3 linked regions of the Lepisosteus oculatus genome follow. The protein of the gene in region 1 interacts with the protein of each later gene in a pairwise test. Links are inferred from orthologs where the notes say so. Each region holds a gene or a part of one and is shown in the gene's direction. Other genes may lie near its edges.

What was found.
Region 2: the proteins of cryabb (region 1) and lbh interact in a two-hybrid assay, tested with the Homo sapiens proteins (2 studies listed by BioGRID, with this or other methods). The link is inferred for Lepisosteus oculatus from reciprocal best matches to the Homo sapiens genes CRYAB and LBH.
Region 3: the proteins of cryabb (region 1) and crybb2 interact in a two-hybrid assay, tested with the Homo sapiens proteins (2 studies listed by BioGRID and IntAct). The link is inferred for Lepisosteus oculatus from reciprocal best matches to the Homo sapiens genes CRYAB and CRYBB2.

What each region holds. Positions count from the first base shown.
Region 1 is NC_090718.1:15,357,481-15,365,828, forward strand, and holds the start of cryabb (crystallin, alpha B, b), read left to right. Parts: upstream 1-5,310; 5' UTR 5,311-5,467; coding exon 5,468-5,656; intron 5,657-6,947; coding exon 6,948-7,070; intron 7,071-7,246; coding exon 7,247-7,450; 3' UTR 7,451-8,348. Other genes in the region: hspb2 (heat shock protein beta-2), read right to left, coding at 16-449, 2,479-2,572. UniProt on the Homo sapiens protein: May contribute to the transparency and refractive index of the lens. Has chaperone-like activity, preventing aggregation of various proteins under a wide range of stress conditions.
Region 2 is NC_090697.1:29,447,125-29,455,278, forward strand, and holds the start of lbh (protein LBH), read left to right. Parts: upstream 1-5,076; 5' UTR 5,077-5,312; coding exon 5,313-5,341; intron 5,342-8,154. UniProt on the Homo sapiens protein: Transcriptional activator which may act in mitogen-activated protein kinase signaling pathway.
Region 3 is NC_090717.1:140,877-148,394, reverse strand, and holds the start of crybb2 (beta-crystallin B2), read left to right. Parts: upstream 1-4,440; 5' UTR 4,441-4,524; intron 4,525-5,277; 5' UTR 5,278-5,304; coding exon 5,305-5,367; intron 5,368-6,041; coding exon 6,042-6,160; intron 6,161-6,272; coding exon 6,273-6,405; intron 6,406-6,500; coding exon 6,501-6,643; intron 6,644-7,518. Other genes in the region: crybb3 (beta-crystallin B3), read left to right, coding at 462-604, 1,300-1,501. UniProt on the Homo sapiens protein: Crystallins are the dominant structural components of the vertebrate eye lens.

The sequences.
Region 1 (8,348 bases):
CAGTGTGGGAGGGGTTCACGTGCTCTTCCCCGCCTCCTTGTGCTGCTTCTCCCCGCCCTCCACTCGGACTTGGAGCTCGCGGACGGTGGGCTTGACATCCGCAGCCTTCCGGGGCGCCTCGGCGCACAGGACGCCGTCGTGGGAGAGGGTGACCTGCACCAGGAGCGGGTCGACGCCCAGCGGCAGGATGTAGGTGCGGCTGAACTGGCGGCTGACGAAGCCGTGCTGGTCCAGCCGCTGGGCGTGTTGACCGCTCACCTCCAGCAGGTTGTCCACGGTGCGGACCGCGATCTCGTCCGGCGTGAACTGGCACACGTCCAGCAGCACGCGGAACCAGTCGTCGCCGCTGTCCACCTGCGAGAAGCCCCGCTCCAGCTGCTTGTTGAGCCGCGGGCGGATGTAGTAGCCGTGGTACAGGGTGGGGGCCAGGACGTCCTGAGGCGACAGGCCTGGGGGCGAGAGAGAGCAGCTTCGGCAGGCCAGGCTCAACCTGGGAGCTGGGAGCTGGGAGCTGCAGGGTGACATAGCTGCTGCCATGTTGCACACTGTTTGTTGGCAATAAACAAGAAAAAATCATTCTCGTAATAAAGGATTTACAATTGAGTATGGTGTATGTGCAATTATTTGTGTAATAACAGAGTCAGGACGCTGGCAATGCGCCTCTGTAAGGCTGTGTACAATGTCTCTTCGCTTGTAGCAGATCCTTTTTCTAAACGTTCACAGACGACACTGGTCAGGGACATGTCTCTTTTACCAGAGTAAACCACCTGCCAAGCACAAAGGCTCTGATGCTATTTTGCAGGCCTGCTTCAGAGCCATTACAAAGGAAAGTCATGGTGTGCACTTAATGTATTGATTTTAATATGTTATTTTAATACAGTCAATACATTTCTCACAAATTCCATTCCCTTTGGCACGACGAGACTTCCTCGTCCCCCGCAGAGGACGGGTTCGGAACCTGAGACCCACACTGGGGCAGATGCAAGCCCCTGTCTTTGGGGGGATGGGTCGGTCGCGGGGAGCAGGTGAGGCCCCTGTCAAGCCAGGGTTTCAATCCGGCTGACCCTGGGGTGACCAGCGCGATCCCTCAGCTTCTACTCCTCCTCTGGAGTCTGGATTCGCCGGCGAGAAACAGGCTGAACAAAGGCAGCCCTGCGTGTCTTTTGATAGGGGTGTCAATGTGCTGCCAGGCTGGCTGCTCTGTTCCCAAGACCTCCAGGGTTGTAGGAGGGCAGTTTATTTTCGGGCTGGGCCGGGGAATTCCCCTCCGCCGCCAGACGTCTGTTTTTATTTCCCTCTCAGCCTTTTACTCCTTCATGCTCCGCTGCCACAGAGCAGGAGGCCAAAACAAAGGGAAACTCTCTCCAAGAGTCTAAAGGAAGTTAGGCGAGAGACAAGCCGAAGTTCACAGCTTCTACCACCAGGGGGTGCTCTGCACACATGCCTCTTCGGCCTCTTGAGGAACGAGGCTGGTGCGGCTCATGGGAGGGCGATGTCCGTGACAGCTCTGCCTGGGCCCCCGACAGCAGGAGAGGTCAGGGGCAGGTCGATCTGTCACTTCCCTCTCACGTCAGCACCTCGCCAGCTCCAAGGGGCAATCCGACTGAGACTCGGAGCCCGTGAGCCTGCCTGCCTGCATCCTTACCTCATCACATGCAACTTTCAAGTAATGTCCAGTTATCTATCATGCCCACATACAGGCCTTCAATACCCTGGTACAGTTTTAAGAGCTTTTTAAGCTTTTGGCAAGAATCTAATCCAATTTAATAGCCTCATACAAGCTACAGTCATTTAGTAAAATGTTTAAGATAAGATCACTTTTTTCACCCTATACAGTTTTTTGTATTAGGAATTTGTCTTTTCGCATACTCCAGCTTGCTCTCCATGAGACACACAGACAGGGAGAGAAGCTTGGGGTCGGAGCACAGCCATTTATACAGCACCCCTAGAGCAGTTGGGGTTAAGGGCCTCGCTCGGGGGCCCAACGGAGTAGGATTCCTCCACTGGTCACAGGATTCGAACCAGCAACCTTCCAGCCACAGGCACAGCTCCTCAGCCACAGAGCCACCGCACTGCCCTGCTTCCGCACTTTGTGGACTTGAACCCAGACCATCAGCGACTGCAGATTTGAACCCAGAGCCCAGTGACCACAGACCAGCGCGCTAGATCAGATCATTTGTGTTCCTTCTTCTTGTGGGTCGGTTCTTGGTGAATTTGTTTTTGCTCAGAATGGATGGAGATTTAAGTTTTGTGCAGGAACAGAAAAGGTTGTGAAGCCCCTCTGTGTGCCCAGCTGTTGTGAAGCCCCTCTGTGTGCCCAGCTGTTTAATAGCCCCTCTGTGTTCCTTCTTTCACTCTGAAGAAAAGCGTCCAGTTCCACCAGGACAGGGCGCTGTTGACTTGTGCAGTTCCATGGTTCCACCGCACACACGCCGACCCGACGCACGATCACGAGCCCAGCACAGCGGGAGGCCTTACCTTCCCCGAAGTTCTGGTCGTAGATGCGGCAGGGAGACGCCATCTCGTACTCCACACTCATGGGGTACGCGTGAGGAACGGTGCGCTCCGACATCCCAGCGAGCTGCGAGGGCACGGCGGCTCAGTTCCTCGCGGAAACGACTGGCAGGGTCTGCAGAGAGAGTCGGGGAGAGAGAGAGTGACTGTGTGCCTGTGTTTGCATGGGGCTGATAAAGAGGCCAGAAATAGCCCGGTCACAGACACTCCAAAGGAGACATCATAACTACAAATAAATCCAGAGACAAATACGCCACTGGGATCTCTGATGGATCAGTTTAAAATGGCCCACAGGGACAGGCCAGTCCTGCCTGGACAGACCGGCTGGCAGGGCTCTTGTCTGCGATTCCGAGACGGGATATTACATCTCACCAAGAGCAGCCTGGGACGATTTATTTGAAGGATTAGAAATGCGTGGAATAATTTTGCACTTACTGCAGTACGTCACGACTGGGAGAAGCACTGCAGGCCACAGTGGGACCTGGCTTTGTGTGGAGCTGTGGGAACTGTGATGATGTTACCAGCCTGGTACTGTCAGCACTCTGCTGAATACGGCCCTTCGAACGACAAGGTTGCGAGTGGAATGAAAAGCTGAACCCTCCCGGTAGAGAAAGTGTAAGGAAATACATCTCCCCCCATTCCTGGACCTAAGAATAAGCCCACAGCTCTCAGAGGATATTATATATCACCTAGCTGACCCTGCGGGGTCCGCGGGTGGAGCCCCACACTGCCGCGGACGTCCGAGAGGACGCCGAACTCCAGCCTGTCTCCAGCCGACACCGCCTGTCTCTGCCCTGTTTACAAGACGGCTATTGAGCTCTGCCCCAGGCCTTGCCAAGTCTGGCATCGCCCTGGGGCAGGGGGGAAGTCGAGCGGCTGATTAACAGGCTGCTCTTCTGATGTTTCTCTGGGTGAGGGCGGGGGGGCGACGCCTTTTGTGCACAGCGGAGCAAAGTCACGACAGCAGCAGTTTGCCTCTGCGTGATTCATTTACATGAAAAGTTCAAAGTGAAAGCTGTGTCTTTCTCATATGCATATGATATGAACTGTGCAATATTTCTTTATGTGTATCATACCTGTTGTGAGTATTGACCTGCCCAGGGCTGCACTCCTGTCTTCTGTGGTTCCTGTACATATCAAGTGTGATGTCAGTGCTGGGGCCCCTCCTGGTGATGGAGTGTACTTATTTTGGGCACTACAGGGTGTCCAGGGGTCTAGGCAAGAGTTCTGTCAGGTCCAGGAAGCTCTAGGAGGCTAGTGAATGTGTACAGTATCACAGCAGCTCGTATCTTCTGAAGGAGAAGGCCTTAGAAGTGCAGGGGTGTCAGACTCAGTGACTAAATGATGTCACCAGGTGTAGGCACGTTAACAATAGCGACAATGATCAGGTCAAATCCCACTTCTTTCATGGTTGGATGATAATTCTCTTGACTACAGCAGGTCCCAGGTGAAGGAAGTCCCGAGTGCTTTTTTGTTCATTTTGAATTCTGTTTGCCTTTCCTAGAATAATGTGGCGGGGCTCTTACAGTGATTGTGGCTCTGACTGACACACCAGGGGATGCTAACAGTCCAGCATTCTGGGAGCTGAGTGTTTGGTGATCCGTCAACAGGCCCCTGCAGGTCTCCAGAACTCCACAGAGCTCTACAGTGTTGTTATTGCTGCTCTGCTGATGGCTGCTACTGCTGTTAGCAGCTGTTGCGGGCTGAAGTGGCCTACTGTCCAGTCTACACATCCAGAGAGGTGTTAACATAAGTATTGGCCGAAATATTGTCCAAAATCTGAGCAGGGGGTTCAGAATGGAATAGAGGTGCTTAGTTCCCTTCTTCATGGGAACCAGGGACGAAACAATTTAAAGTAGCCAATCAAGCTCAAGCACGGGGGGGCATGCAGACTCCACACAGACTGATTCCCTAAAGTTGGACACAAACCCGACTCGAGATCTGTGAGGCCACAGTGCCACCCGCTAGTAGATCCTCTTACCCTCCATTGATGCCCTAATAAAAGTGCATTGTGGTTGACTGTGGTGACAGTACAGAGTAGTGAAGTACAGTACAGCTACTGTGCAGCATTAGGTGGTGCTTATCAAAGCATATCCACAGGCACGTACTCTATAGGGAAGATCAGAAATGTCTCGCAAATTTGCTGTTGTAGAATTTCTCAAGTATGAGAGGTAGCTGTGAAAAGCACTCATCACCATACTGTGAAGAACAGCTTTGATAGAGAGTTTAATACCTGCACACATAAAGGACATCTTGAGTGGAGAAGCTGACTAAATAAATGAATGAAGGACCTGCAAAGGCTGGTGCTGTGTCCTGGAGCAGAGGCAGCCTGCGCTGGGCTGCCAGGGGTGGTTTATCCCGGGGCTTGACTCTGCACACAGGGTGCCCTGCCTGCGCCTGGGCAAACACACCCACCAGAGCCTTTGATCCGGCCTGGAGCCTCCCTGGACAAACAGGAGTCAGGGCAGGCGGGGGAGAGGGGCACCGGAGCGCGGCGGAAATAATCCCACCGGCACGCGGGGCAGCCGGAGGAAGAGAGGCCAAGCCCGAGGAGTGCGCGCCAAAAACCGAAACCCGTCTGACAGACGAGCCGGGTCCTGGCGCTGGCCGTGCAGGCACACACAGAAAACCGCGCACCAGCACAAAAGGAGACTTTCCAGCGCTGCGCGCACGGGGGCATCAGCACTATTTAAAATCCCCCAGAACAATCGCAGGGCCGCTTGCCTGAATGAAATCGGACTGCCAGTAATCACGTAAACACACACGGACTGGCACTTGCAGGGGGAGAGGGCGAGCGGGGGAGACGGTTTACATCACCGTTCCAGAAAGTTCAAGAGGAGGGTGGCAGGCTGGCACAGGCTGGTGGGGCGGCTATATAAGTGAGCTGAGGGCCAGAGGCACAGCAGGAGCGGCACGGCAGCAGCAGGCACAGAGTGCGCCCAGCCCAGCCAGCATGGACATCGCCATCCAGCGCCCCTGGTTTCGCCGCCCCCTCTTCTCCTCGTTGTTCCCCGTCCGGATCTTTGAGCAGAACTTCGGGGAGCACATCCCAGAGAGCGAGCTGCTCGCCCCCTTCCCCCTGATGTACTGGCCCCGGGCCTCCTTCCGCGGTGCCAGCTGGATGGACGGCGGCCTGTCAGAGGTGAGGGCCGGGCCTGTTGCGGGTTGACCGTCGACTAACCTTCCAGAGCCAAAGCTCCAGAATTCTCCAGAAGACAAAAGAGACAATCTCTGACTTTTCACAGGTTTGCTGCAGGACCTATAGCTTCTTTCCTACAGAGGAATGTTTTCAAAACTAGCTGTGAAAACCTTAATATTTTGCTAAGTCTTTACTAAACTAAACCGTTGCACGTATGACATATTGAGACCAAGGGCTTGTGGGATATGGAGACCAAGGCTTGAAATCCTTGAGGTGGGAGAGAAAAGGCTTGGAAGGGGGTGTTTTTGTCTGTGAGAGCAGGATGGCCAGGAATGTGACAGCAGGGAAGAGCGCAGCAGATATTGAGACGTCGTATCCACAGCGTCACCAGCACTAGGATCAAGCGCAGTGAAACAGGAGCTGCTGCTCTGCTGTGGGGGGCTGGGTGCTGGCGTTGACGTGGGCACTGAAGTCAGGGAGGAAACGGTGGGGTGTCTCTGGCTCTCTCACACATGAGTCCTGGGGCTCAGTGTCCTGACCTGCTCCGATTCCTGGGGATCCCGTGATGAGGTTCCCTCTGTGTCACGCGAGTCCCTCCCTACTGTGGCAACATTTTCTTGGTAGCATGTTAAAACTTTATTCCTCATAAAACGATCACCAGCTCAAATACCTGAGCCCTGTTAGTTTAAGACAAAAAACCCTGTAGTTTGATGAAACACTCACTCGACAAAGAAAGTGACTCCAACAGTTCGGACATGAAACCAGTACAGCACAGATGATGTGAGCTGTTCCTTTAAGTCCGTCGGCGGGCGCGTGCACATGTTGGCCTCTGAATGTTTAGAATTGCTTCCCGCTGCCTGCAGCCAGCTCAGCCCAGCACCATGCCCTCTGTGTTCGCTGCGAGGTGTCACAATGTGACCCATGGGAGGAATCTCAGAGCGCAGTGCAAACTGCCCACTCCCCCACTCAGCTGACTCCCAGGGTCAGAGCTGCTCTTTCAGACTGCAGAGCGCTCGTCTGTAACCTTCAGCCGCCTAGAAAACCAGCCCTAAAATACCTCTTGGAATTAACCTGCTAAAGCTGGAATTGGTCACACTTAAGAGGCGCTTTGTCAGCTTGTGGCTCTAAGAGAAAGAAACAGATACCTGTATGAATCCTTCTGTTTAATAATGAGGCACACCTGATGGCTCAATGCCCTGCCCTGTGACGGGGATGCTGACCTGTGTGCATGTGAGCAGCCCAGGCTGCACAGGTGTGTTTTTGTGTGCTGACCCTGCTTCCTCCTGGCCGGCAGATGCGTCTGGACAAGGACAGGTTCGCAATCCACCTGGACGTCAAGCACTTCTCCCCCGAGGAGCTGTCCGTCAAGGTCAACGGCGACTTCATCGAGATCCGTGGGAAGCACGAGGACCGCCAGGTAGGGGAACACCCTCCCTCCCTGCCTCTCCATCCCCCTTTTCTCCTGCCTCCTCCCGGCTCCTGCCCTGTCTCCCTGGCCCTCCCCTCTCCACTCTCTCTTTCTCTGCTCCCCTCCTGCAGTCTCCCGGGGTCCAGCCTGCCCTCCAGCGTGCCTTGTGTCTTTCCCTTCGGCAGGATGAGCACGGCTATGTGTCTCGGGAGTTCCACAGGAAGTACAGGATCCCAGGAGGGGTCGAGCCGGGCTCCATCACCTCCTCGCTGTCCGCCGATGGCGTGCTGACGATCAGCGCCACGCGCAACCTGTCCGAAGTGGCCGAGCGCACCATCCCCATCACCCGCGACGACAAGCCCGCTGGGGCTGCGCCGCAGAAGAAGTAGACTTCCTTCTCCCCCGCCCCTTCGCCCTCCCTGGCTCCTCGCCACTGCCACCCCACCACCACCGCCCCGTCTTCCTCGACCCCGGCACCCGCTGAGCCACGGGAAGTGAAGAGAGCCCCCCCCTGCATTTACAGGCAGGGGATAGGACCCCACTCATCCTCCATTACTCAGAAAGGGTGGGCTCATGGAATTCGCTGCTACATCAGGGCCTCTGTCCTCCTAGCTTGCTGAGTAAAATCAAACACGCTGCAGAACAGCTGAATGAGCAAGGGAAGGAGCAGACAAAGGCACACTGAGTGCAGGGCCCTGGTGCAGCTGGACCAGTCAGTCCCTTGAGGAAGGGGGAAAAGGTCCACAGAGTGACAGACGAGCCTCTGTGAAGTCAGCTACTGATCGTGCCTCAAAGACACAAAAACAGTTCAAGGAAGTAGGACAATCTTAGGGAACTTGTGCGTGTAGAAACGCCATGCCCTTAAGTGGGCAGGGTTTATGTGCAGAAGCGAGCCCCGTGACAGAGCACAGGAGCGCTCCAGAGCAGTTTGTAGCTGGAGCTGTGGGGACCATTGCCTCTCTGAGAGTGTGAACCAGATCCTGTGTTCTTGTACAGTCAGGTACCTTGTACCTGAAGGGCAGTTACACTGCAGGGGTGTTGGCAAATCCCAGTCAAGAACGCAGGTATCGGCTTCAGGAAAATCCCCGCTCCACCCAGCTCAAAGGCTGAGGCATTAGGTTTACCGCAGCAGTTGTCTGGAAAATGGTTGCTGAATTTTTTACTTACAGACTTGAAAAAGACCAAAGGAGTGACTGAATAAGTAGTCTGACTTCACAGAGGAGTTAATGACAGGTTCTCTGATAAAATTCTCTTGTTTTTGTATATACTGAAAAGCATTTAAAGTGC
Region 2 (8,154 bases), on another chromosome or scaffold:
CGGTACCTGTAACAGAGCCTGCAGGATGAGAGTCAGTGTACAGTACCTCTCTGTCCGTTCAGGTCCAGCAGTGTCCAGCAGGCTCCAGTAGACTCCAACAGTGTCCAGCAGTGTCCAGCAGGCTCCAGCAGTGTCCAGCACTCCAGAGGTACTGCGAGCTGTCTGTCAAACAGCTCTCTCAGCACTGCTCTCCCAGCTGGGAGGAGCTACGCTGGCTGTCACCATGGTGACAGCCCAAACACTGCAGCCGAGAGACCCCGCCCACACCGGGCCTCACTGCTGGAGGGTGGACAGGGCACGAGGGCGATGAGAGACGCACAGGGCACAGAGAAGATTGGATACAAGAGAAGAGAGCTCTCCACTCAGGGGGTGGGGTTCCATATCTGTTGATATCAATATCAGTAACAACCCTTTTCAATATCTACAGTATCTACAGTATCTCATTAACTGAGATGATGGAACAGTCTGCAGCTCCTGGTCTCATACTGCATGACACAAAGATCAAGTTCCTGCTCTATGAGGATGCCCTGGTCCTGCTGTCGCCCACAGACCTTCTGGAGCAGTACTGTCAGGGCTGGGCGCTGACTGACAATCTGGAGTTATGGTGTTCCAGAAGGAAGCCAGACCTTAGAGAAACGGGGTACACTTCACACTGGCCAATGCTGTCCTAGGCACAGTGTGAGAAGTGTGCTACAGGGTCACTCCATCAGAGATCAATTATAATTCTGTCTTCTGCTGCAAAATCGAGGTTTGTTGTGTCAAAGAAGAGATTATCATGTGAAATTTAAACTTCCTCCACACAGTCTGGCATAGGGTCCAGTGAGCACTGACCAATCCTCTGGAGCTCTGGGACTGTGCTGTGTGTCCAGTATGTACTGACCACTATACTGGACCTCTGTGACTCTGCACTATGTCCAGTGAGCACTGACCAATCCTCCGGAGCTCTGGGACTGTGCTGTGTGTCCAGTATGTGCTGACCACTACACTGGAGCTCTGTGACTCTGCACTATGTCCAGTGAGCACTGACCAATCCTCTGGAGCTCTGGGACTGTGCTGTGTGTCCAGTATGTACTGACCACTACACTGGAGCTCTGTGACTCTGCACTATGTCCAGTGAGCACTGACCAATCCTCTGGAGCTCTGGGACTGTGCTGTGTGTCAAGTATGTACTGACCACTATACTGGAGCTCTGTGAGTCTGCACTATGTCCAGTGAGCACTGACCAGTTCTCTGTGAGGCTGTGACTCTGAACTGTTTCCAGTGTATTTTGAGCACTCCTTTGGAGATGAATTTGTAATTACTCTTCTCTAGCTGTAAAATTAAGGAATCTCCAGCAGAGGGAGACAGACACCTCTACATAAGCAGTACAAAGTTCAATTAGTTGTATTAAATGTAATTTTCTCTTGATTCAATTATGCATTCACTGAATGATACTAGCCATTTTCTTTCAAAACTCTCAATCTTTTCTTCTTCTATAAACTTCTATAACACTGTAACAGGACTGTTCTATTGTACTGGGACTGTAACCCCTATTGTAACAGGACTGTTCTACTGTACTGGGACTGTAGTCCCTATTGTAACAGAACTGTTCTACTGCACTGGGACTGTAGCTCCTATTGTAACAGGACTGTTCTACTGCACTGGGACTGTAGCCCCTATTGTAACAGGACTGATCTACTGCACTGGGACTGTAGCTCCTATTGTAACAGGACTGATGTATTGTACTGGGACTGTAGTTCCCACTGTAACAAGACTGTTCTACTGTACTGGTACTGTAGCCCCTATTGTAACAGGACTGTTCTACTGTACTGGGACTGTAGCCCATATTGTAACAGACTGTTCTACTGTACTGGGACTGTAGCTCCTATTGTAACAGGACTGTTGTATTGTACTGGGACTGTAGTTCCCACTGTAACAGGACTGTTCTACTGTACTGGTACTGTAGACCCTATTGTAACAGGACTGTTCTACTGCACTGGGACTGTAGCTCCTATTGTAACAGGACTGTTCTACTGTACTGGGACTGTAGCTCCTATTGTAACAGGACTGATCTACTGTACTGGGACTGTAGCCCCTATTGTAACAGGACTGTTCTACTGTACTGGGACTGTAGCTCCTATTGTAACAGGACTGTTCTACTGCACTGGGACTGTAGCTCCTATTGTAACAGGACTGTTCTACTGCACTGGGACTGTAGCCCCTATTGTAACAGGACTGATCTACTGCACTGGGACTGTAGCTCCTATTGTAACAGGACTGATCTACTGTACTGGGACTGTAGCTCCTATTGTAACAGGACTGATCTACTGCACTGGGACTGTAGCTCCTATTGTAACAGGACTGATCTACTGTACTGGGACTGTAGCTCCTATTGTAACAGGACTGATCTACTGCACTGGGACTGTAGCTCCTATTGTAACAGGACTGTTCTACTGTACTGGGACTGTAGCTCCTATTGTAACAGAACTGTTCTACTGTACTGGGACTGTAGCTCCTATTGTAACAGAACTGTAGACTTCCTGAAAGATCTCTTGTGGGAGTTTGTTACATATTTGTGTCTCAGCTTTCCCATCCATGGCTTCTGCATCCTTGCTGTTATCCCCTCCTTTCCACGTGAGGGCAGTAAAGTGTAAGAAACCAGAGGTACCATATCCAAGATCTACAGTACAGAGTTCTTGACCTCTACTCCTGGTTCTATAGATGTCCACAGAAGAGAGTATTAACCCAGCATGTGGTTCCATTCAGCCTTTGAGAACTGTGTTGGAATCAAAACTACAAAATTGGCGGCCACAAACCTTACTCTTCTGGATTAACATCTGGGATGCTGACAGCCGGCTTCCTTGGGCCTCAACACACCTCCTGCCTCTGAGGAAAGACGTGCAGGAGACCTGCAGTGCACGTTCAGGCGTGAAGATTACTTCAAGCACTAGAGAACCACACCAGCAGCTCCTGAGTGCCACTGAGGGGGTCCTGTGATTCCCACCCAGCCAAGTGACAGATCATGGAGTCCCGAGTGGAGCACGGTGTCCACTACAGTACCGGACGGCAGGTGTATTTGCTGACCAGCTGTTCTGGTGTTGCTTTGAAGAGACTCCTCCAGAACCAGAACTGGACACCCTGCAGACACACTGACCCCCCAGGACCAGGACTGGACACCCTGCAGACACACTGACCCTCCAGGACCAGGACTGGACACCCTGCAGACACACTGACCCTCCAGGACTGGACACCCTGCAGACACACTGACCCTCCAGGACAAGGACTGGACACCGTGCAGACATACTGACCCCCCAGGACCAGGACTGGACACCTGCAGACACACTGACCCTCCAGGACTGGACACCCTGCAGACACACTGACCCTCCAGGACTGGACACCCTACAGACACACTGACCCTCCAGGACTGGACACCCTGCAGACACACTGACCCTCCAGGACTGGACACCCTGCAGACACACTGACCTTCCGGGACCAGGACTGGACACCCTGCAGACACACTGACCTTCCAGGACCAGGACTGGACACCCTGCAGACACACTGACCTTCCAGGACCAGGACTGGACACCCTGCAGACACACTGACCCTCCAGGACTGGACACCCTGCAGACACACTGACCCTCCAGGACCAGGACTGGACACCCTGCAGGCACAGTGACCCCCCAGGACTGGACACCCTGCAGACACACTGACCCTGCAGGACTGGACACCCTGCAGACACACTGACCCTCCAGGACCAGGACTGGACACCCTGCAGACACACTGACCCTCCAGGACTGGACACCCTACAGACACACTGACCCTCCAGGACCAGGACTGGACACCCTGCAGACACACTGACCTTCCAGGACTGGACACCCTGCAGACACACTGACCTTCCAGGACCAGGACCGGACACCCTGCAGACACACTGACCTTCCAGGACCAGGACTGGACACCCTGCAGACACACTGACCCTGCAGGACTGGACACCCTGCTGACACACTGACCCTCCAGGACTGGACACCCTGCAGACACACTGACCCTCCAGGACCAGGACTGGACACCCTGCAGACACACTGACCCTCCAGGACCAGGACTGGACACCCGCAGACACACTGACCCTCCAGGACTGGACACCCCGCAGACACACTGACCCTCCATTGTGTGTTTGTGACCCTGGTGGGGCAGCTGATACGGAATGGCTGCTGTGTGGGGGGTGAACTGGGTCCCCTCCTGTATGTCAGGCAGTTTGGGTTGATAATAATTATTATTATTGAACTGATGTGATAGGGAGGGAAGTCATTTAAAAGCTACAGACAAGCCCAACTCACGAGAGTATTTCAGGGGACTGCAGGCCCAGCAGGAGCAGAGATCGGGAGAAGATGAATTAGAAGTGAAATCAAGGAGCACAGAGGCGCAGGTTTTCCCTGACAGAGAGCCCTCCAGGTGGAAATGTTGCCTTGAGGACCGCAAAACAATCACAGGAGAGCTGGACTGGCCTTGGCAGAAGGACACCAGCGATCCTGGACTGTGGCTGAGTCCTCCTGTGAACTGGGATCCAGGACAGGCCAAAAAGGAACTGGAGGAGGTCTAGGGATGGGCCAGCCCGAGCATCCACACTGGTAAGGTAAAGAAAATAACTTCCTCTCTCCCTGATCCCCAGCCGCATCTCGCAGTAATTAATACCTTTGTGACTTCAGTGGCACATCACAACGTAACGCTGGTGTTGCACCGTCTCATTGTGTAGCAGTGTGAGAACGGTAATCGGACCTCTGTCTTGCATGCCGTGACTGTGCGCATTGCTGTGTCTCCAGATCTGTTGCGGGCAGTGTGGATAATGTGTACGTGTGTGTGTGTGTCTCTCCGTGTCTCAGCGCGGGTGTGGCGCGCGTGTCGCAGTGCCTGCCTGTGGCTGTCAAGCGCTTTTTTTTTCCTCAATGAATCGGGATCTGCTCGCCCGTGATTGGTCAGAGGCGGTGCGCGAGCCGGCGCTCGGCGCGAGTGTTGCCATTGAAGAATTTCAGGCCCTGGCTGCGACGGGAGTGGCTGCAGGAGAAGGACACGCCCCCCACTATATAAACCGAGGCAGCCGCCTGTCAGCGGTTCAGACGCTGAGAGCAGTATTAGGAAGTGGAGGTATAGGGGACGTCAGCAGCAAGGGGACTTTCTTTTTTGTTGTTATTGTAACTTTCTGTTTTCGCTGATGTTGTGCGTCACCGGCAGTGCCGGGCTGTAGTTCCTCACAGCCGTGGACGTATATCAGGACAGCAGCGAGCTGAGAAGTCATTTCTCCCATCACCGTGTTCTTTCGCCCCATCCGCAGGTGTGAATTCATGTCTGTGTGCTATTCCCAGGTAAACTGGTAAGTACCGTCTTCTTTCTGCCCCTCTCTCCGTCTCCTTCCACCCTTGCCCGTCTCTCTGTCTCACCCCCCTCTCAGCCTCGGTTACCTGTCCCCCCCTCTTCCTCGGGCCCCCGGTGTCCTGCGCGGGGGGGGGCAGTTGGGAGAGGTGTTTGAAATCCCATCCTGCAGCGGGCAGGAGGTGGACAGAGCGCCCACCTGGGCAGCGCGAGTTTGTCCTCGGGGTGACCTCTGACTGTCGGAGCTCCGGAGGTGCAGCTTTAGCGTGGGGTTGGCGCGTTGGGGTGTCCACTCGTGTACCGGCAGGTCCTCATTAATTTCTAAGACGGGGGTCCGGCTGTGTCTCTGCTGGATTTTGTCGGAGAGCCCTGGTGCGAGACCGAGCCAGACGCCCACCGGGCTGGGGAGGCACGATGCACCGAGGCTCCGGCGAGGCTGTCCGGCGAATCTCACGCCCGCCGCGGCGCTGCGGGAGAGCGGCGGAGAATCTGTCGTTTTCTGCGCGGCGCGGTGAGCGGCAAAGCGCTCCTGCCCCAGGTCAGACCGGAGCCTCTGCCCTCCCCCCCCCTGCAGTTCTCGCTGCGAGTTCTCAAGAAATCGCGCAGGAGACGAGTGGAGTCCCTTTCCACAGCAGATGGAAAAAATAACAGCGCCTTTGGTCTGAAAGTGTTTTACCGACGGCACTGTTTTTTTTTTTCCTACCGTGTGCACGAGCAATCATCCCAGACGTTCGTGGGACGAGTTTCAGGGCTCCGTGGGTGCCTGGAGAGCGCTGTGCGCGTGTTTCCTGTAATGTTTAGGTGTTCGTGAAAATGGCTGGCTTTCAGTATCTAGTCACCTCGCAGCGCTGTCGCAAAAGACAGCGAATTGAAGCGTTGGGTTAAAGTCGAGCTCTGCTAAGATGACCAGTGTCAATGAACACTGTATGGGGCTCCTGGTGCCTGTTTCAGGGTCACAGTGTGTGTGTGGGGGGGCTCCTGGTTCCTGTTTCAGGGTCACAGTACAGAGGGTGTGTGGGGCTCCCGGTGCCTGTTTCAGGGTCACAGTGTGTGTGGGGGGGCTTCTGGTGCCTGTTTCAGGGTCACAGTGTGTGTGGGGGGGCTCCTGGTGCCTGTTTCAGGGTCACAGTGTGTGTGTGGGGCTGTTTCACAGTGCTGACACCATGCCTGTGTTCTCACAGTGCTCCTTTGCCCCTCTTGTCTCAGTGGGATTTCTTGGTGCCCCTGTTCCCTGGGGTCAGCCCAGCCCCTGTCAGGGGTCACGGCAGGGTGGCACCGCTGTGCCCAGGGGCAGCACAGGGGACTGGCACTCGTTAAAGCCCAGAGGGCCAGCGTCTCCACTGCAGAGCCCAGCTCCAGGCATGTCCCTGACTGTCCTGCTGGTTGAGCTGCAGTCTGTGTGTTACGGTGCTCGAACCCGAGCCCTGCGGTTAGAGAGTGCCGTGCAGTAAAGTCTTCCGCTGTGGCTGGCTGTAGAAGAGGCCCTGCCCTGCGCTGGGGCAGTCCGAGTTCCCCTGCGTCTGCACTTCCTCAGTACAGGCCTGCCATTACAGCTCCTGTTCAGTTTCAGCCCACTAGCCCGTTGCTAATTAGAACGGTAATTCTTAGTCATTAGAGAACCGGGGTTTCCAGTAGCCTGGTCTGGTTAGTGTGCTGTTTGTACAGGGTGCAGCTGCCGGTGGTGAGATAGTGTGTGCCTGTGCACTGTGAGGCAGTCCAGGCCCACAGCCTTGGGTTCTGGTAGGACAGTGAGGCTGTGCAGGCCTGCAGGTCCTGGGTTCTGGTAGCACGGGGAAAGAACTTGATACAAATATTAAAGGACTGTCCTGCACTGACAGACTGAAGGAACTGAGTCTCTTTAGTCTTGAGCAGAGAAGACTGTGAGGAGACTGATACCTGTACAAATATTAAAGGACCATCCTGCACTGACAGACTGAAGGAACTGAGTCTCTTTAGTCTTGAGCAGAGAAGACTGTGAGGAGACTGATACCTGTACAAATATTAAAGGACCGTCCTGCACTGACAGACTGAAGGAACTGAGTCTCTTTAGTCTTGAGCAGAGACGACTGTGAGGAGACCTGATACAAGCATTGAACATTTTTAGACAAAAGTCAACCCAGATCATTTCTTCAGAATTAACAGTGAAACATGAACCAGAGGACACAAGTGGAGCCTGTGAGGAAGTGCACTGAAAGTAAAGGACAGGCGGCCGTCTATACACAGAGGGAGGAGTGTTGCCCTGCCATGTTGTTGAAGCTGATGCTCTGGTTGCTTTGAAGAAGGAGCTGCATGAGATCCTGGGATCAGCTAACTACTAACTACCAAGCTGGCCTGATGGGCCAAGTGGCTCCTTTGATTGTGACATTTATGTTCTAGATCAAAACAGTCCTGAAGAATCTCCCTCAAGGCTGAGGTTGTAGGAGCTGATGTGCTCAACTCTTTGAGACTCTTGGGCAGCTAGTGAGGCCAAGTCTGCTGGCGATTTCAGTCAGTACTCTGTAACTGTCACCCATCGGGCAAAGTACATGAGTAACACAGCTCCTGGGATCATAGCTAGGAGGAGCAGGCCAGTCTGTGGCTCAGGCAGCCTGTAGGAGCAGGCCGGTTCGTTACTCCACAGCAGGCCCAGTCTGTGGCTCAAGCTGCCCTGGAGGAGCAGGCCGGTTCGTTACTCCACAGCAGGCCCAGTCTGTGGCTCAGGGTGCCCTGCAGGAGCAGGCCGATTCGTTACTCCACAGCAGGCCCAGTCTGTGGCTCAGGGTGCCCTGGAGGAGCAGGCCGGTTCGTTACTCCGCAGCAGGCCCAGTCTGTGGC
Region 3 (7,518 bases), on another chromosome or scaffold:
CACACATACTGTAGGTACAGACAGACACACACACGTAGAGATATACACAGACACACACAGGTAGAGATGCACACACAGACAGACACACACAAGTAGAGACACACACAGACACACACAGGTAGAGATGCACACACAGACACACACACAGACACACACACACAAGTAGAGACACACACAGACACACAGACAGATACACACAGGTAGAGACACACACAGACACACACACGTAGAGATGCACACACAGACACACAGGTAGAGACACACACAGACACACACACGTAGAGATACACACACAGACACACAGGTAGAGACACACACAGACAGACACACACAGGTAGAGACACACAGACACATAAACACACACAGGTAGAGATACACACACAGACACACAGGTAGAGACAGGCAGGCGTGTAGAGCAGGCAGTGAGTATTGAAGGATGCATGTGGGTGTCTCTCCACCAGGACAGCGCAGAGCACAAGCTCCTCCTGTTCGAGAACGCTGGCTTTGCTGGGCGCAAGATGGAGATCGTGGACGATGACGTGCCCAGCCTGTGGGCGCACGGGTTCCAGGACCGCGTTGCCAGTGTGAAGGCACTCAATGGAACGTAAGGCCCACCCCACTGTACCCCCTGAGTCACCTGTCCGTCTGTCTCCATCCTGCTGCACCTCATCCTGTACCCCTGCTTGTGAACCCTGTTCTCCCTTTGGGACCTCCCCAACTACACTATACCCCACTGTACCCCTCTGCACTGTACTCCCCTGTAACCCACTGTACTCCTCTCCACTGTACTCCCCCTTACCCCACTGTACCCCTCTACATTGCACTCCCTGTACTCCCCTGTACCCCTCTACACTCCGCTGTACCTCTACACTGTACTCTCCTGTATCCCACTATACCTCTCTGCACTGCACTCCCTGTACCCTACTACCCCTGTGCGCTGTACTCCACTGTACCCCTCTGCACTGCACTCCCTGTACCCCACTGTAACCTTCTATAGTGTACCCCACTGTATCCCTCTACACTGTACTCCCCTGTACCCCACACTACCCCTCTAAACTGCACTCCCTGTACTGCACTCTACCCCTCTATACTGTACCCCACTGTACCCTTCTACACTGCACTCCCTGTACCCCACAGTCCGGGTGAGTGTTGTGTTGGCTCCTCGACACTCGATGCTGCAGTGTCTTCGCTGGCCTCTCACTCTGCTCTCATGCTGTCTGACTGACCTCTTCGACTTCTGTCTCCTTTGATATCTAGAAGGCCAAATAGGAGGTCTAATGAACCTTTTCATTCCTGCAGGTGGGTGGCCTACATGTACCCGGGCTACAGGGGGCGCCAGTTCGTGTTCCAGCATGGCGAATACAAGCACTGGAACGACTGGGAGGCCGCGCTGCCGCAGATCCAGTCTGTGCGCCGCGTGCGCGACATGCAGTGGCACAAGAAGGGCTGCTTCACCCTGCCAGCCATGCCCGCCCCCCCCACGGCTCCCAGCAGCAGCTGAAGGAGACCAGAGCCCACCTCCCACGCCAGTCTCACCCCCACCCCCCTCCCTCGCTGCGCCAAGAAACGGCGCATGCACAGGTGACTGTGTGCGAGTGAGACAAACTGGCAATAAAGATACTCTTAACCCAGCATATGCCTCATGCCTGAGTTCATTCCAGCCACCATGTATATGTCTGGGCCTGCTCTGGCCTCCCAGTAAGAGGATACATTGTACAATCAACACAGCAACTATCCTTCAGAAAACACTGTGATTTACCGAGATTTCACTGTGCCTCACTATAATCTCACAGGATTCCATTCAACTGTACCGTGAATTCACTGTGCTTCACCATAAACTCACTGGATTTCACTGTGCCATACTGGGATTTCACTGTTGTTTCACTGGGATTTCACTTTTCCTCACCTACTGTGATGAAAGAGGGGCCATACTCCTTCAATTTAGTAATTTATTTGACGAACCAAACAATAATCAGTTGAATTAATTAATTAAGCTATTAATAATAAAGGCCCTGGGGTTGGAGGAGAGCAGTGCTGTGCTTCTGGGAATGTTACCTGCAGAGCAGAGGGCAGCCGCCCCAGCGGGATGCACCGCGAGGGCCGTCAACAGGGTCGAGGCCCAGCAGTCCTGCAGAGGTTCAAGCCTCCCAAGGGATGTGTTCCCGGTGTGGAGCGTAGGGCGGAGGTCAGGGGTCAGAGGTCAGGGGTGTGTCTCACAGCTGGTTTAAGACAGGATCTCGCTGCTCTGCAGTGACGCTTGCCCCGCTCCTTCCCCCTGTGTGTCCACTGCTGGCTTTGTACTGTGAGCTCCTACCTGACCTCTTAATTACCACACCCTCTCTTGAGAGGACTTCCAGGACTTCTGCTCAGCGGCACCACGGAGCCTTCATCCCGCCAGGCTCCCCCAGGGGCGCACCTCACTTTAGCTTACTGTCCTGGGACCCCCAAAGGACACCTCTAAAAGAGACACACTTGGTGATTCCTTTGTTACTTTAGCAGACGTACAGTGGTTGAAACCCTTCTGAAGGCAGGATATTAGTAGGACCAGGTCTTCCAGAATCACTGGACAACCTCCTCTGGTCAAACCCCAGGAGTAGCGTCAGGGTCAGGATCAGGGCTGGACCAGTCACTTCCGGGAGCTCAGTCTGACGAGACTGGGTAGTGCTATGCCGGTCAGCTGTTCACACAGGTCAGACTGGACTGGGCAGTTCTGTGCCGGTCAGCTGTTCACACCGGTCAGACTGTGCAGGAGAGAAAGGAAGTTGCGTTGTGTGCTGAAGTGCACGTAAACCAGTAGACCATTAGATGGCGGTCTCTCATCTCTTCACAGTATAAATTCCAAACCAATGACAGGATCAGACATCAACCTGTCTGTACATCTCCTACCTGAAGACATCATTTCTAGGCTTGATTTCTCCAAGAGAGAAACTGAGACTTGAGAGATTCCCTCTGTCTCCACTTAACAGGGACTTACTGGCCTGACTGATGAGATACAGTGCCAATGAAGCACTAACAGTTAGCAGAACATTTACATACATTCACGACAAAACATTGTTATTAGGCTTTTACAACATAAAACATTATTTCCAGACAGGCTCACTGTCTGTTCCTCAGGCTGTGACAGGAGATCACACACTGTATTATTATTATTGAGAGACAGGCTCACTGTCTGTTCCTCAGGTTGGGACAGGAGATCACACACAGTATTATTATTGCGAGACAGGCTCAGTGTCTGTTTCTCAGGCTGTGACAGGAGATTACACACTGTATTATTATTGAGAGACAGGCTCACTGTCTGTTCCTCAGGTTGGGACAGGAGATCACACACAGTATTATTATTGCGAGACAGGCTCAGTGTCTGTTTCTCAGGCTGTGACAGGAGATTACACACTGTATTATTATTGAGAGACAGGCTCACTGCCTGTTCCTCAGGCTGGGACAGGAGATCACACACCGTTTTATTATTGAAAGACAGGCTCACTATTCCTCAGGTTGGGACAGGAGATCACACACTGTATTTTTATTATTATTATTGAGAGACATGCTCATTGTCTATTCCTCAGGCTGTGACAGGAGATCACACACTGGGCTGACAATTCAACCCCTCTCTCTCCTACTAGGATTGGGAACTGTTCTGATTCTGGCAGGTTTGGGAATTCTGGGATTAGATTTGTCAATTTTGGGAAGAATGTTTGTCTAATCCCAGAACATTTGTCGCAGGTAGTGCTTCTTTGTCTCTGTTTCTCCCCTCTGGTAGTGGGAGCACAGCCTGTGCTCTCTGGGCAGCCAGGTCTGCCTGTGTCGCCCAGTTTCTATGGCCAGGCTGTGGTCACTGAGCCTGTACTTCGTCAGGGTCTGTTTCTTTTTGCTAAAAATGTGGCTAGTGTGTATTGTCTGTTTAGGATTTAAGGCATTCCAGTTTATGTTGTGTTTGTGTGTGTGTCCCAGTGTGTGAGATATTGCTGTTTGATCTGTGCTGTGATGTGGTTGAGTCTGAGTTGTGGTGCTCTAGCAGTGCTGTCCTGAGGCTGGCTGGTGTCAGTGTGGCTCAGGTCAGTGAGCCTCAGGACCAGCTGGCTCAGAGGGCTCTTTGTTGGGCTCAGCTCTTGGCTCAGCAGGGCCTTGTGGTGGAAGGAATTTTGGTCGCTGTTTTTTAGATGTGACCAATCCTCTTCCCTCTCACCCCCTTCTCTCTCCCCTCCCCATCGCCCTGCTGCCTCTGGTGCCAGTGCAGTGTGCTGTGCCCAGCGAGCCCTTTGTTCCTGGGTGCTGGCTGCGCTCTTGGCATGTCGCGGGCTGAATCATCCAAACATACAACAAAGCACAGCCCTGGCTGTCCTGCTGAGGGCAGACAATGCTCCCCCAGGTCATCTGACCACCGGGCCCATTGAGCTTTAATCTGCCTCAATCCGGGTGTGATGGTGGGGGCAGTCAGGTAGGGAGGTTTCTGGCACAGCTCTCCTGCCCAGGGGTATAAAGGGGCTGTGTTCACTGTCCGCACTGCACTGGCTCACTCAAGTACTGGTAAGGGTATCGCTGTCTCCTCTCTCCATGTCTCCCTGTCTCTCGTCTCTGCTCTCTGTCTCCTCTCTCCCTGTCTCCTGTCTCATATCTTCTGCTTACTGTAGTCTCGTTGCTTCTCAATCAGTTGCTTTGTTAGGTGTACAGTAGATACTCTCCAGGTGTCAGTGTGTACAGTAGATACTCTCCAGGTGTCAGTGTGTACAGTATATAGACTCCAGGTGTCAGTGTGAACAGTAGATACTCTCCAGGTGTGCAGTGTGTACAGTATATAGACTCCAGGTGTCAATGTGTAAGCTAGATACACTCCAGGTGTCAGTGTGTACAGTAGATACTCTCCAGGTGTCAGTGTGTACAGTATACTGTATAGAATCCAGGTGTCAGTGTGTACACTAGATACACTCCAGGTGTCAGTGTATACAGTAGATACTTTCCAGGTGTGCAGTGTGTACAGTATATAGAATCCAGGTGTACAGCATGTACAGTAGATACTTTCCAGGTGTCAGTGTATACAGTAGATACTTTCCAGGTGTGCAGTGTGTACAGTATATAGAATCCAGGTGTACAGTAGATACTTTCCAGGTGTCAGTGTGTACAGTAGATACTTTCCAGGTGTGCAGTGTGTACAGTATATAGAATCCAGGTGTACAGCATGTACAGTAGATACTTTCCAGGTGTCAGTGTGTACAGTAGATACTTTCCAGGTGTCAGTGTGTACAGTAGATGATCTCTAGCTTCATTTCTCTCTGCTCACAGACATCACAGCTCCACATCACTGTAACCATGGCTACAGACCACCAGACTCCAGCATCCAAACAGCAGCAGCCTGGCAGCACTGCCTTCAAGGTGAGCAGGAGTCAGTGTGGGCCGCAGGCTGCCCCAAGGTCATGTGGAGTCCACTCTGAAGTGCCCCTGGGCCTGAGAAAGGCAGTCCTCTGTGTGGAGCTGCCATCTCAGGCAGGGGGTGTCATCTGCACAATGAGAAGTAACGATTCTCAGGCACCAGGGTGCCCTTTGAGCCCCCGTCAGGCATTTGTGAGGCTCTGAGTCTCTTTAGTCTGAAGGGAGTGTCCCACACTGAGAGGCTGAAGGAACTGAGTCTCTTTAGTCTAAAGGGTGTGTCAGTGTCCCACACTGACAGGCTGAAGGAACTGAGTCTCTTCATTCTTGAAGAGAGATGACTGTGAGGAGACCTGAGGCAAATCTTCAAAGGCAGCAACAAAGTCAACCTAGTGAACTTCTTCTGAATAAACAGTGAAACATGAGCCAGAGGGCACCAGTGGAAATGACATGAAAGTGCATTTAAATCTGAGAACAGGAGCCACACCTTTACACGAAGGGTTGTGGGAGTCAGGAACAAGATACCTCCAAAACCTGGCTTCATTAAAGAGTCACATGGATGTGATCATGGGACTATTGAGTTACACAGACAGACTTGCCCTCTTGCTTGTACATGTTTTTCTGCCCATTTGGTCAGAATGATTCACAGTTTGTCTCTTTGCCTCTGTCCTCTCCCCCAGCTTGTCATCTTTGAGCAGGAGAACTTCCAGGGCCGCTGCCACGAGCTGACCGGCCCGTGCCCCAGCCTGAGGGAGGGAGGAGTGGAGAAAGTGGGGTCCATCCTTGTTCAGTCTGGACCGTGAGTGGGGGAAGGGGGAGGGACTGGCAGCGAAGGGAAGGGGACTGGCAGCGAAGGGGAGAGGGGAGAATGTGCATTAAGCTGCTCCTCTCCACTCTATCTCTCTTCCCAGCTGGGTGGGCTACGAGCAGCCCAATTGCAAGGGGGAGCAGTTTGTGTTTGAGAAGGGGGAGTATCCTCGCTGGGACTCCTGGACCAACAGTCGCCGTAGCGACAGCATCGCAGCATTCCGGCCCATCAAAGTGGTACGCCGCCCCGTGCCTCTGTCTGCTGCTGCTCGGTCTGCCGCCATGTTTGTCTCTCCTCACTGCTTCCCTCTTTCCCTGCCTCCCCTTCTCAGGACAGCCAGGAGCACAAGATCGTTCTGTACGAGAACCCCAACTTCTCTGGCAAGAAAATCGAAATTGTAGATGACGACGTTCCCAGCTTCCATGCTCATGGATACCAAGAGAAGGTCTCCTCTGTCCGAGTGCAGAGCGGAACGTGAGTCTCAAACAAGCAGATGCACAAACACACAGAGAATCACAGAGACACACAGACACAAAGAGACACAAAGACACATGGAGACACACAGACACACAGACGCACAGACACACAGACTCACAGACACACAGACACAAAGAGGCACAAAGAGACACAAAGAGACACAGATGCACAGACACACAGACACACAGAGACACAGAGACCACAGTTACATGGAGACACACAGAGACCACAGACACACAGACACAGAGACACAGAGAGGCAGAAACACCCACACACAGAGACACAAGGACACACAGAGACACACAGAGACAGAGACCACACACACACAGGCACACATACACAGACACACAGAGACACAGACACACACAGAGACACAGACACAGACACACAGACACACAGAGACACAGAGACCACAGACGCACAGAGACACAGAGACCACAGACATGTATAGACCACAGTTACACAGAGACACACAGAGACCACAGACACACACAGAGACACAGACACAGACACACAGACACACAGAGACACAGAGACCACAGACGCACAGAGACACAGAGACCACAGACATGTATAGACCACAGTTACACAGAGACACACAGAGACCACAGACACACAGGCACACAGACACAGACACACAGAGACACATGGAGACACAGAGACACACAGGCACACAGAGATACAAACAGAGACACACAGACATACAGAAACACAGAAACACAGAGACCACAGACACACAGATACACAGACACACAAACACACAGACACTCAGCTACACAGACACACAGAGACACACAGATACACAGACACAGAGACATACAGAGACCACAGACACACGGAGACACATACACACATGCAGACAAAATCTGTAG